Macaca fascicularis: one gene and its partner. The protein of the gene in region 1 purifies or fractionates together with the protein of each later gene. This does not show direct contact. Links are inferred from orthologs where the notes say so. Each region holds a gene or a part of one and is shown on either strand. Other genes may lie near its edges. The genes, in order: LRFN4 and NCK2.

The links.
Region 2: the proteins of LRFN4 (region 1) and NCK2 purify together in Homo sapiens (co-immunoprecipitation; 3 studies listed by BioGRID and IntAct, counting the BioPlex papers as one, with this or other methods). This does not show direct contact. The link is inferred for Macaca fascicularis from reciprocal best matches to the Homo sapiens genes LRFN4 and NCK2.

The regions. Positions count from the first base shown.
Region 1 is NC_088388.1:7,524,049-7,528,630, forward strand, and holds LRFN4 (leucine-rich repeat and fibronectin type-III domain-containing protein 4), read right to left. Parts: upstream 3,002-4,582; intron 2,859-3,001; 5' UTR 2,849-2,858; coding exon 1,500-2,848; intron 959-1,499; coding exon 400-958; 3' UTR 118-399; downstream 1-117. Other genes in the region: uncharacterized protein, read left to right, coding at 3,099-4,436. UniProt on the Homo sapiens protein: Promotes neurite outgrowth in hippocampal neurons. May play a role in redistributing DLG4 to the cell periphery.
Region 2 is NC_088387.1:10,174,925-10,179,352, reverse strand, and holds the start of NCK2 (cytoplasmic protein NCK2), read right to left. Parts: upstream 2,883-4,428; 5' UTR 2,656-2,882; intron 1-2,655. UniProt on the Homo sapiens protein: Adapter protein which associates with tyrosine-phosphorylated growth factor receptors or their cellular substrates. Maintains low levels of EIF2S1 phosphorylation by promoting its dephosphorylation by PP1.

The DNA of each region.
Region 1 (4,582 bases):
CTGCTGTGGCTGCCCCCACAGGGCCCGGGAGCCCCTCCCTTGTCTGTGTGCTACCACTGGCCTGTGTCCCATCTTCCCGTCTTGGGGGACCTAGCCAGACAAGACCAGAGACTAGCATTGAGGTGTCCCCAACAATTTTATTATAAATAAAAACAAGACTCCCAATTGGTGGCTGCAGCCCCTGCCTTGGTGGCTGTGAGCACCTGTTGGAGGGACCTGCCCCTTACTCTGGTCTGGAGGCCAGAACCGAGGAAAGGGCTCCCTGCCCCGCCAAGCACACAGGGGAGCCTGAGGTACCGAGAGTAAAAACCAGGGAGGGACTCCCAGGCCAGGTGGCCGCCCTGGGCCCTCTGCCCCACGAGGCTCATCCCTTGGAGCACACAGGAAGCTGCCCGTGCATCACACCACACTCTCTTCCAGCCGCTCGGCGCTGCCTCCTACCCCCCGGCACCCTGCCCCGAGCAGCCCTCCGTGCACAGAGTGGCTCCGTCGGGCCCAGGCTCCCCCCAGGCGCCTGGCGTAACCGTAGCACCCGGCGTCTCCCAGGTCCAGAGAGCAGCTGCGCTGCGGCCGGGGCGGGGGGCTCCGTGGCGGGTGGGCCTTGGGTGTGGGGCTGGGGCCTCCATTGGTCTGGGACTGGACGTGGCTGAGCTTGAGGGGGAGGCGGCCATTCCCAGCCCCCCGGCCCCGAACCAGCAAGGCCACAGTGAAGACCAGTAAGGCAGCCACCAGCACACCCCCCACGGCCACGGTCAGGGTCCCGCCCAGCACGTGGGCCTGCAGGGCGTGGCACAGGGGTGAGGCTGGCAGCGTGGAGAAATGGGCACAGCCCAGCAGCCTGGTGGCCGTGAGGTCGGAGGGCCCAGCGGCCGGTGACAAGGCCAGCAGGCAGAGGTCATAGTCAGCGCCGGGGACCAGGTGCTTCAGCAGGAAGTGGTGGCTGGAGGCTGGGACTATCCTGCAGGCAAGGGCAGGTGGTCAGAGCTGGGGGCTGGGGTCTAGCTCCATCCTCACCTCCCCGCTCCCGTGCTCCCAGCTTCAAACACCCCTCCCCCGGGGGCCACTCGGGCTCTTGCATTCACTCAGGAAGGCAAACAGGCTCAAGAGTGTGGCCAGGAGATGGGTGTGTGCACTGGCACAGGACCCAGGCAAGCGAGGGGGATGGGGTGGGGGGATGGCACCAGCAGGGCAGAAATAACGCGTGCGGGCGCGGGCCATGTGCTTCAGACAGACCCAACCGCCACCTGCTGCCGGAGGAGGCCTGCACAGCTCAGTGACACCTGGGACATCTCATGGGGTGGGGTCCTCCTGCCACCCCTTGAGCTCCAGCCCCTCAGGCAGCCAGGCCAGGCCACTGCTCCTCCAAGAGTCCAGCAGCCATGGTCTGGGAGCGGTTTTCAGCCCCAGAGAGAGGAGGAGCGAAAGCAAAGCCTTGTGGGGAGCAGAGGGCGGAGGGAGGGCACCAGGAGTGCAGCCGGGTGTGGGGCGCATGTTCTCACCGGTAGATGAGCGTCTCATCCTCGCTGCTGTTGTACTGGATTTGGAACATCCACACTGGGTCTGCTGGCCGCCCAGGACCCCAGCTCACCAACCCTGACGTGGCGGTCACCTCTGTCACCTGCACGGCTGGCTCAGACTCCAGCGTCCCCTCACCCTCGGCAGCAGTGCGAGCCGAGGCGGCGATGTCCGAGGGCCCGGGGCGGCCCCCCTCAGCGCTGGTGTTCCCACCGTGGGGCAAGGCCAGGACCCGCAGTTCTACTCGGGCCGTGGCCTCACCAGCAGGGTTGGTGGCGATGCAGGTGTAGCCCCCAGCATCCCCAGCGCCAGTCACCCCAATCTCTAAGGTCCCGTTGGGGAAAGCCCGGGCTCGGGAGGAGTTGCCAACCAACCGGTCATCAGGACCAACCCAGTGCATGGTGGGCGCGGGGTCACCCAGGGCCCGGCACCGCAGCGTGGCCCGCTGGCCTTCCAGCACCCAGAGGCGCTGCGTGTGGCGGGCAATGAGGGGCGGCTCGCAGGAGAACTCGCCCTCAGGCACTGCCCAGAAGTAGCGGCCGGCCAGGCCGGGCGGGGAGGCGCAGGTCTCCAGGTCGTCCGGCCGCGCCAGCCGCCGCAGCCACAGCAGCTCACAGTTGCAGTGCAGGGGGTTCCCGCTGAAGCTCAGCACCAGGGGGGCGGGAGAAGCCTCTGCGTCACGCCCACGAGAGAAGAGCGGATCCGGAGCCAGCGTGGCCAGGCGGTTGGAGGTGAGGTCCAGGCGGGAGAGCTGACCGAGCTGGGCGAAGGCGCCTGGGGGCAGTGCATCAATGAGGTTATGGTCCAGGTTGAGGGTGTGCAGGGCAGGCATGGCGCCGATGCCGGCCCAGGGCACCTGCCGGAGGTTGTTGTAGGACAGGTCCAGGTCCTCCAGGCTCTCGAGGAAGTCGTCAAAGGCTCCTGGCGCGATGCGTCCCAGCTGGTTGCCGCTGAGGATGAGGTGCTGCAGGTTGACGGGGCCCCGAAGGCTGCCTGTACCCAGCTCCACCAGCCTGTTGCCATCCAGGTGCAGGGAACGAAGGCTCTCGAGGTCCCCAAAGGCGCGGGCCCCAATGCGGGTGATGGCATTACGCGACAGCGTCAGGTCCACCAGCCCTGTCATGTTGCGGAAGTCAGGGGGCCCCAGGGCCTGGATAAAGTTGTCAGCCAGTCGCAGCTCCACTGTGCGCCGGTCCACGTTGGGCGGCACAAACAGCAGGCCTCGGTGGGCACAAAGGGTGCTGAGCGACTCGGACAGGTTCTGGCAGACGCAGGGCAGCGGGCAGGCGGCCGCTCCACTGGCCAGCAGCAGCAGCAGGAGCGGCGGGGCCATGGTGAGCGCCCTGTAGGGAAGGGCCACAGCCCGGGCACAGGTGGGGCTGGTGCAGGTGCCCACTTGGGCCCAGGACAGTCCCAGAAGCCAGCTTCTGTGAGCCTGGCCCGGGGAGGGGCTGGGTCAGAGGCCCAAGAGGGCCGCCAGGGATGAGGGAAGGTTGGGGCCTGCAGGGCCAGGCCCCCCAGAGCAAAGGTCACATTTCCCAAGCAGTTAAGGGGGAGTCCAGGCGCTGGGCACAAGGTGAGACATGAGGCAGGAAGCGGAGGAGGACGGAGAGCAGGGAGGGTCCCGGAACTTCCTTTCCCAGGCGTTCCCAGGAATCGCCAGCCCCCTCCCCCCTCCGCGCCATCCCCTCCCCCGCCAGAGAAGGCGCCCCCCGAACCTCCCGTGGAGTCCGTGTCCCCACCCAGGCCGGCCCCCGCGCTGCGCCCGGCGGCCCCCTCACCTGGTGTCCGTCGCTCAGGGGGCGCGGGCCGGCCTCCCTGCGAGCCCGGCCGGCCCCCGCCGACTCCTGGCCGCTCTCCCGCGGGGGCGAGGCCCGGGGATGACCGGCCGCCCGCCGCCCACCCTCGGGCCCATGGCGCTCGGGCCCGCGGCCCCGGCTCGCTCGGTTCCCGGCACCTTTTCCCAGCGCGGTTCGCGGTGGCGGCGGCGACAGGCGAGCGGGTGCGCGCCGGCGGGCGCGCGCGCCGTGGACACGCACGTGGAGGGCGGACGGGGAGGGGCGCGCGGGGATCCACCCGGGCCCGGGCCGGCTCCCGAGGTCACGGGGACACGCGGCTGCTGCAGCGCCCACGGGTGGCACCCAGTCACGCCCGAGGCCCAGGCCGGCGCGGGCCCGCCGCGCTGCCCCCCGGCGCTGCCGCAGCGCACTCACCCTGGCACAGGCGCGCGCGCCCCCGGCCACCCTGGCGCCCCGGCATCCTGCACCGCACGGGCGCCCGCCGCCGCGGCGCGAACCTCACTCTGCAGACAGCCAGACAAAGCGCCTGCTCGCGGACCCCTTCACCATCTCCCGGAGACGGGAGTCTTTGTCACATGTCGCTGGGCACCCTCCCCAGCACACCCACACATGCCCACACACCCACACGTCCCTGCACCCACGGGCAGGGCCGAGCGCAAACCCGCACTGTTGCTGGGACCCTCGCGTTCACAGACACACGCTGAAGGTCATAACCGTTCTGCATCACCGAGTCACGTGGAGGGTCCCCAACCGGCACGGGGTTCGGCCGTGGGGGGGCTGGGGCGGCCCCACTGGCAAGGCTGCTGCGGGGTGGGGCCGAGAGGGCTCGGCCTCTGGGCAGGCGCCCCGCCCCCGCCGCCCCGCCCTGTCTCTGCTGCCTCTCCCTCCCTCCCCAGCTGCCCCGCCCGCCCTGCCGGCCAGGCGTTCCGAGCCAACCGGCCTCCGCCTCGGGCCGGATTGGTCTGCGCGGCGCGGCTTCGCAACGGCCGGGGGCACGCAGTGGGAAGCTGTGCGTCCTCGCAGCGCTTTCAGCCCCTCCTTCCCGCTCTGTCCCCGCCGGGCCATTTTCCTGGAAGAGCGGCTCGGAACCAGCTGGGCTCAGAGAAAGGGCTCCCGGCGTGAGGTGGGGGAGGTTCCTTGCTTCCTGGTGGAGAAAGCTGGGGCTTGGGGGGCTTGGGTGGCTCGGCGAGCCTGGTCTCCTTCCAGCTGCCCGCCACCACCAGCGGTCTGGCCAGTTGGGAAACAGGGGAAGTCACCACCTCCCCGTG
Region 2 (4,428 bases), on another chromosome or scaffold:
TTTTAGCTTAGGGCCTTTGAAAACGTGCCATGAAGTACTTCCATCACACATTTTAGGAAAGAGAAACCATTTGGAAGTGCCACTTGCCATCCCTCTGGATGGGAAAACTAATTTCCTAAGCCTCTGAAGTGAGTTGTGGGGAGTTTCCAGTTCACTTGTGAAAACAGTTTTCCCAAACATCGCTCATCATCCTCCCCTGCAGTTCCGGCAAGCAATTTTGGGCTCTCGTCATTAAGCCTCATTTTTAATGTCAGAGAATGAATTCCACAAGCCTTGTCTCCCCCAGTGCACATGGCAAGCCAGTCCGAGCAGTTAGAAAAATGGGTGTCCCATAGAGCAGCACAGCCTGCTCTAGCCAGGGCAAATTAAGCTAGCTCAACTGATCAAGTAAAGGACTCCAGTACATTCTGCACCATTCGCGGAGTCTTAGGGTATTTTAAAAGGTTATCCAGTCTGTGCACATGCAAGGAAGATTTCCGGTGTATTTAAAATGGATGATAGTGCATTTCTCAAATATAGTACTGTGTACATAAGATCTGCTGTTTGTTGGAAAAGCTAAATAACCCAAAATGTAAATGACAGAGCCTGGGAATATGTCAGGGTCAAACAGAGCAGGGATGAAGAAGATTTAAGTATGCAGCGCGTCCTAAGCAAAACACAAAGCCTGAAAACTGAGCACAGCCACCTGCAAGGCACCTTCAGCGAGCCCCACGGTTAACAGGGTCAGTTTCTCCACAAGTGGACAGAGGGGCTTATGCAGCAGCCAACTCTTCCTGATGGTAATTTGTGACCCAATTTCATCCAGTGTTTCATGATCAATCCCCCTGAATGTTTATGAAGCAGGAAAGAAGCTCAGAATCCAGGAGAGGCCTCCCGGACAGGAAGTGGGCCAGGCACCTCCACAGCTTCCTATGCCTAAAGTTCTCCATTTCAGCCTCAAGTAGCCACCAGAAGACCACTAAGATTCCGCCACCTTCTCCAATCAAAACTACATCTAACCAACCTCCAGGGGAGAATATACTGAGGTAGGATTTTCCCTTGTGTTCACTTCTTCACAAGCAAGGTTAACACTTGCTTCTCAGGAAATCCCTGTTCCAAACATCAAAAAACCTCCATGTCTAGCCCAATCTCCAGGTGAAGTCAATTTCTTCTCCACGTGTCCGATGACCGCCATTCTCTTTACATAAAACTCGCATAGGCTTGAATCCTGTTACTAATTCACCTGCTTATCTATGAAGCTTGGAAAGTGAATTGAGGGAGTGTTCACAAGCACAGTTCCGTTTCGGTAAGTTAAAGCAGCCCAGGTTAATTTCATTTTCCGTCACTTTTGAGACTTGATAACTACATCTAAAACAGAGGCATGAAAAACACCCTGAATCACTTTCATTACTACACAAAATCCCTTCCGAGAAGCGGGGACTGGGCCTGGGCCAGGAAGGGACTCCCCTACCTGTGGGTCCCACCAAGCCACGCCCACCGGCCTCTCAGGGTGGTTTCTTTCTGGGTCGAGGGATGGAGCTGGCCCATGCGATATTTTAGGCCCCCTCCTGCCCACACTGGGGCCTGCTCATCCCATTATGCATATGCAAACTTGGCAGAAGCGGCCTTAAACCTGTTGGCAAAATAAACAAAGCCAAATAAAGAGGAATCTGCCAACCTGAATTGTGAGAAGTGACCAAGGCCGACTACACGACTCCACGCCCGCTCGGCTTTGTCCCTGAAGCTGCTACAAAACTAGTTTAAGTCAGGTGCCTGGGGTCCACCAGCCAATGACCCCTAGCATCCAGCGCAGACCTTCACAGAGATCCTTATTGTCTACAAATTACAGCGTTTTGCAAATTAAACCCCTCCCCACAATGCCAAGCTAACTGTGCTCATAAGGGAGTTACCGTCCATGCCTTAAAACTCACACATCAAATTTTTCCAAAACCACTGGGTGATTAAATCGCCCTGAAAAACACCGAGAGGGCCGAGCGGTTGTGAGAAACTTTGGTTCAGGTGGCTGTAAGAGTCCTGTAAATCTGGGGCAGGGCGCAGAGCCTGAAGCCGGGCACAAAAGCTCCCTTCGCCGAAGCGAAGACCTCCTTTATGCGATGTGACAGCAGCTTTGTGCGCGATCATAAATAGTTGTAATAAACACAGTTAAGTTCTCCCAGCCGATCGCGGCCTCCCCGGTCCCTGCGCCGGGGCCCTGCGATCCGCGGCTATTCTTCCCCGGCACACGCGCCCTGGCGACCCTGGCCACCGCACGGTCCCGCGCTAGCCCCGAGCTCCGTGCCAGCCGCCCGCCCGCAGGCCAGGCGCAGCCTGCGCACCCGGGGGTCTCCAGTCCCCGGGCCCCGCCGCCGGGCCCCCTGCCCTGATCCCCGCCCGCGCCGTTGGCTGGCGTCCCCGCCTCTGCGCCGGGCCGCGATGGTGGGGGTTGGGGATGGGAAGGCGGGCAGGAAGGTGCCGAGCCGGGAGATGCCCGGCAGCCCACAGTCGGGGGCGCCCAGGCCGCGGCGGGGCCGAGAGTACCGGTGGGGCGCGGAGGCGACCCGCTCTCGCAGCCCCTTCCCGGGCGCACCCCGGCCCACGAGCCCCGCCGCGCTCCCAACTCCGCCCAACGACCCCAAGTTTGTGGCCCCCGCCCCGCGCCCGCCTGGCCGTGCTTACCTCGCTGTGGGCCGCCCGCGGAGCCGAAGGGCAGCGGCGCGGGTCCCGGGGCGGCGGCCGCCCTGCGCCCGCCCAGGCGCCGCTCTTTGTCTGCGCCGCTCCCTCCTCCCGCCGCCGGGCGGACGCTGCCGGCCCGGGCGGACCCCGCCGGCCCGGGCGCCGCGAGCCTCCCCGCAGCCGAGCCCTCCCCTCCGCCCGCCGTCCGCTCGGCCGCGCGGCTCCGGCCTGACGATCCCCGCGGCGGCGGCGGCGGCGGCGGCGGCGGCGACCCTCCCCCGGCGCGCAGCGCCCGCCTCCTCCGCGCTCTTCCTCCTCCTCCCGCGCTCCTCCCCGGCAGCGCCGTGACGCCGCCCAGGGGCCGGCCCAGGCCCGGGCACGCGGGGCGGGGACCCGAGACCCACCTGGGGCGCCCCCCGGCGCCGCCAGGCTCCGCGCCCGGGTACCGGTACGGGCGCGGGTATAGCGCCGGGCTGCGGGACGCTCCGCTCTGGAGGCGCAGCACTGGCCCGGCGCCGGGGACAGGAAAGGGTCCCCACGCCCGAAATTGCGCGCGGGCGGTGGGGGGCAGGCTGGGTGGGTGGGGAGGAGAGTGAAAACATAGGCTGCAACTTCCAGCCTGGGATGCCTGCCGGGTAGGCTTTGCGTCCTCTTTTTTGTTTGTTTGATGTCCTTATCGCGAAGCTGTAGTTGCTGGGCAGCCGCCCCCCTCCCGGAAGCATTCCCACGGCACTCAGCTAAGCAGGCCTGGTGTCCATCAGAAAAGTGACTTAAATAAAAATGTCACTTCCTCCTTGTAATTGCTTGTGGGCATTTTTATTTATTTGTCTTGCATCTATTTACTTTCCCAACCAGACACGTTTTTAGTCCATCATCCCTGTCTGAGGCACTTCCTAAAGGGAGAAGAAACTCGACCTCTGTTGCCTCCCAGGCATCCAGGCCAGCCCCAGCCAGTGGAATCCTGGTTGCACACCCATGGGGACAGGATCCGAAGAGGAGCTGCCCGAATGTGCCCCTAGAAGGAGTGTCGCTAATGATGGGACTGTTCAGCTCACCCAGCCTCAAGTTGTGGCTAGCCTATAAACAAACTTGGAAGATTAAAACCCAAAAGCAAGGGGAAAGACGCAAGTTTCCCTTTCACAGACACATGCATCCGGATGTCTTTTCTCCTCCCCATATGGTTTCCCAAAGGAAATCCTAATATTCAAATGATTCTGATTTCCTGGCAGGATAGCCTGCATCCATGTTAATGAGATTCTTTCTTAGGCTGCTGGTCTCTGCTTACTATTAAGACAATAATAATTTATCCAAGGTTACAAGGCAGTATTATTTGATTCAGTCATCTGCTTCCTTCCAGAAAGGAAGTACCCAAGGACAGGTAACTAGAGTCAGTGTAGCTTTGAAGTCAGACAGGTGAGTGTTTGTTGACTTCCTGAACTGTGTAACCTTGCACAGGTGGTCTTAGCCTTTCTAACATCTGTCAAATGGGGAGATAATATTTACCTACCTCCTATGTGAAGGACTCTGGCAGTAGGTAGCCCTCAATAGCTCAGTAAGTGGAAGAAGGCACAGTACACTGAGCAGGGATCAGGTACAAGCTCAGGGAATCAGGACAGCCTCCCTTTTCCTTGTTTTGATCCTGTGAAAGAAGCTACTTCAGTTCATCCTTTTGTGCAAGCCTCGTGTTACTAATATCTAGCTTTACAATAAGGAAAGAAGAATACTAGTCATCAGTCTGCCCAATTTTAAATTAATTTACTCAAAATAAGTATAACA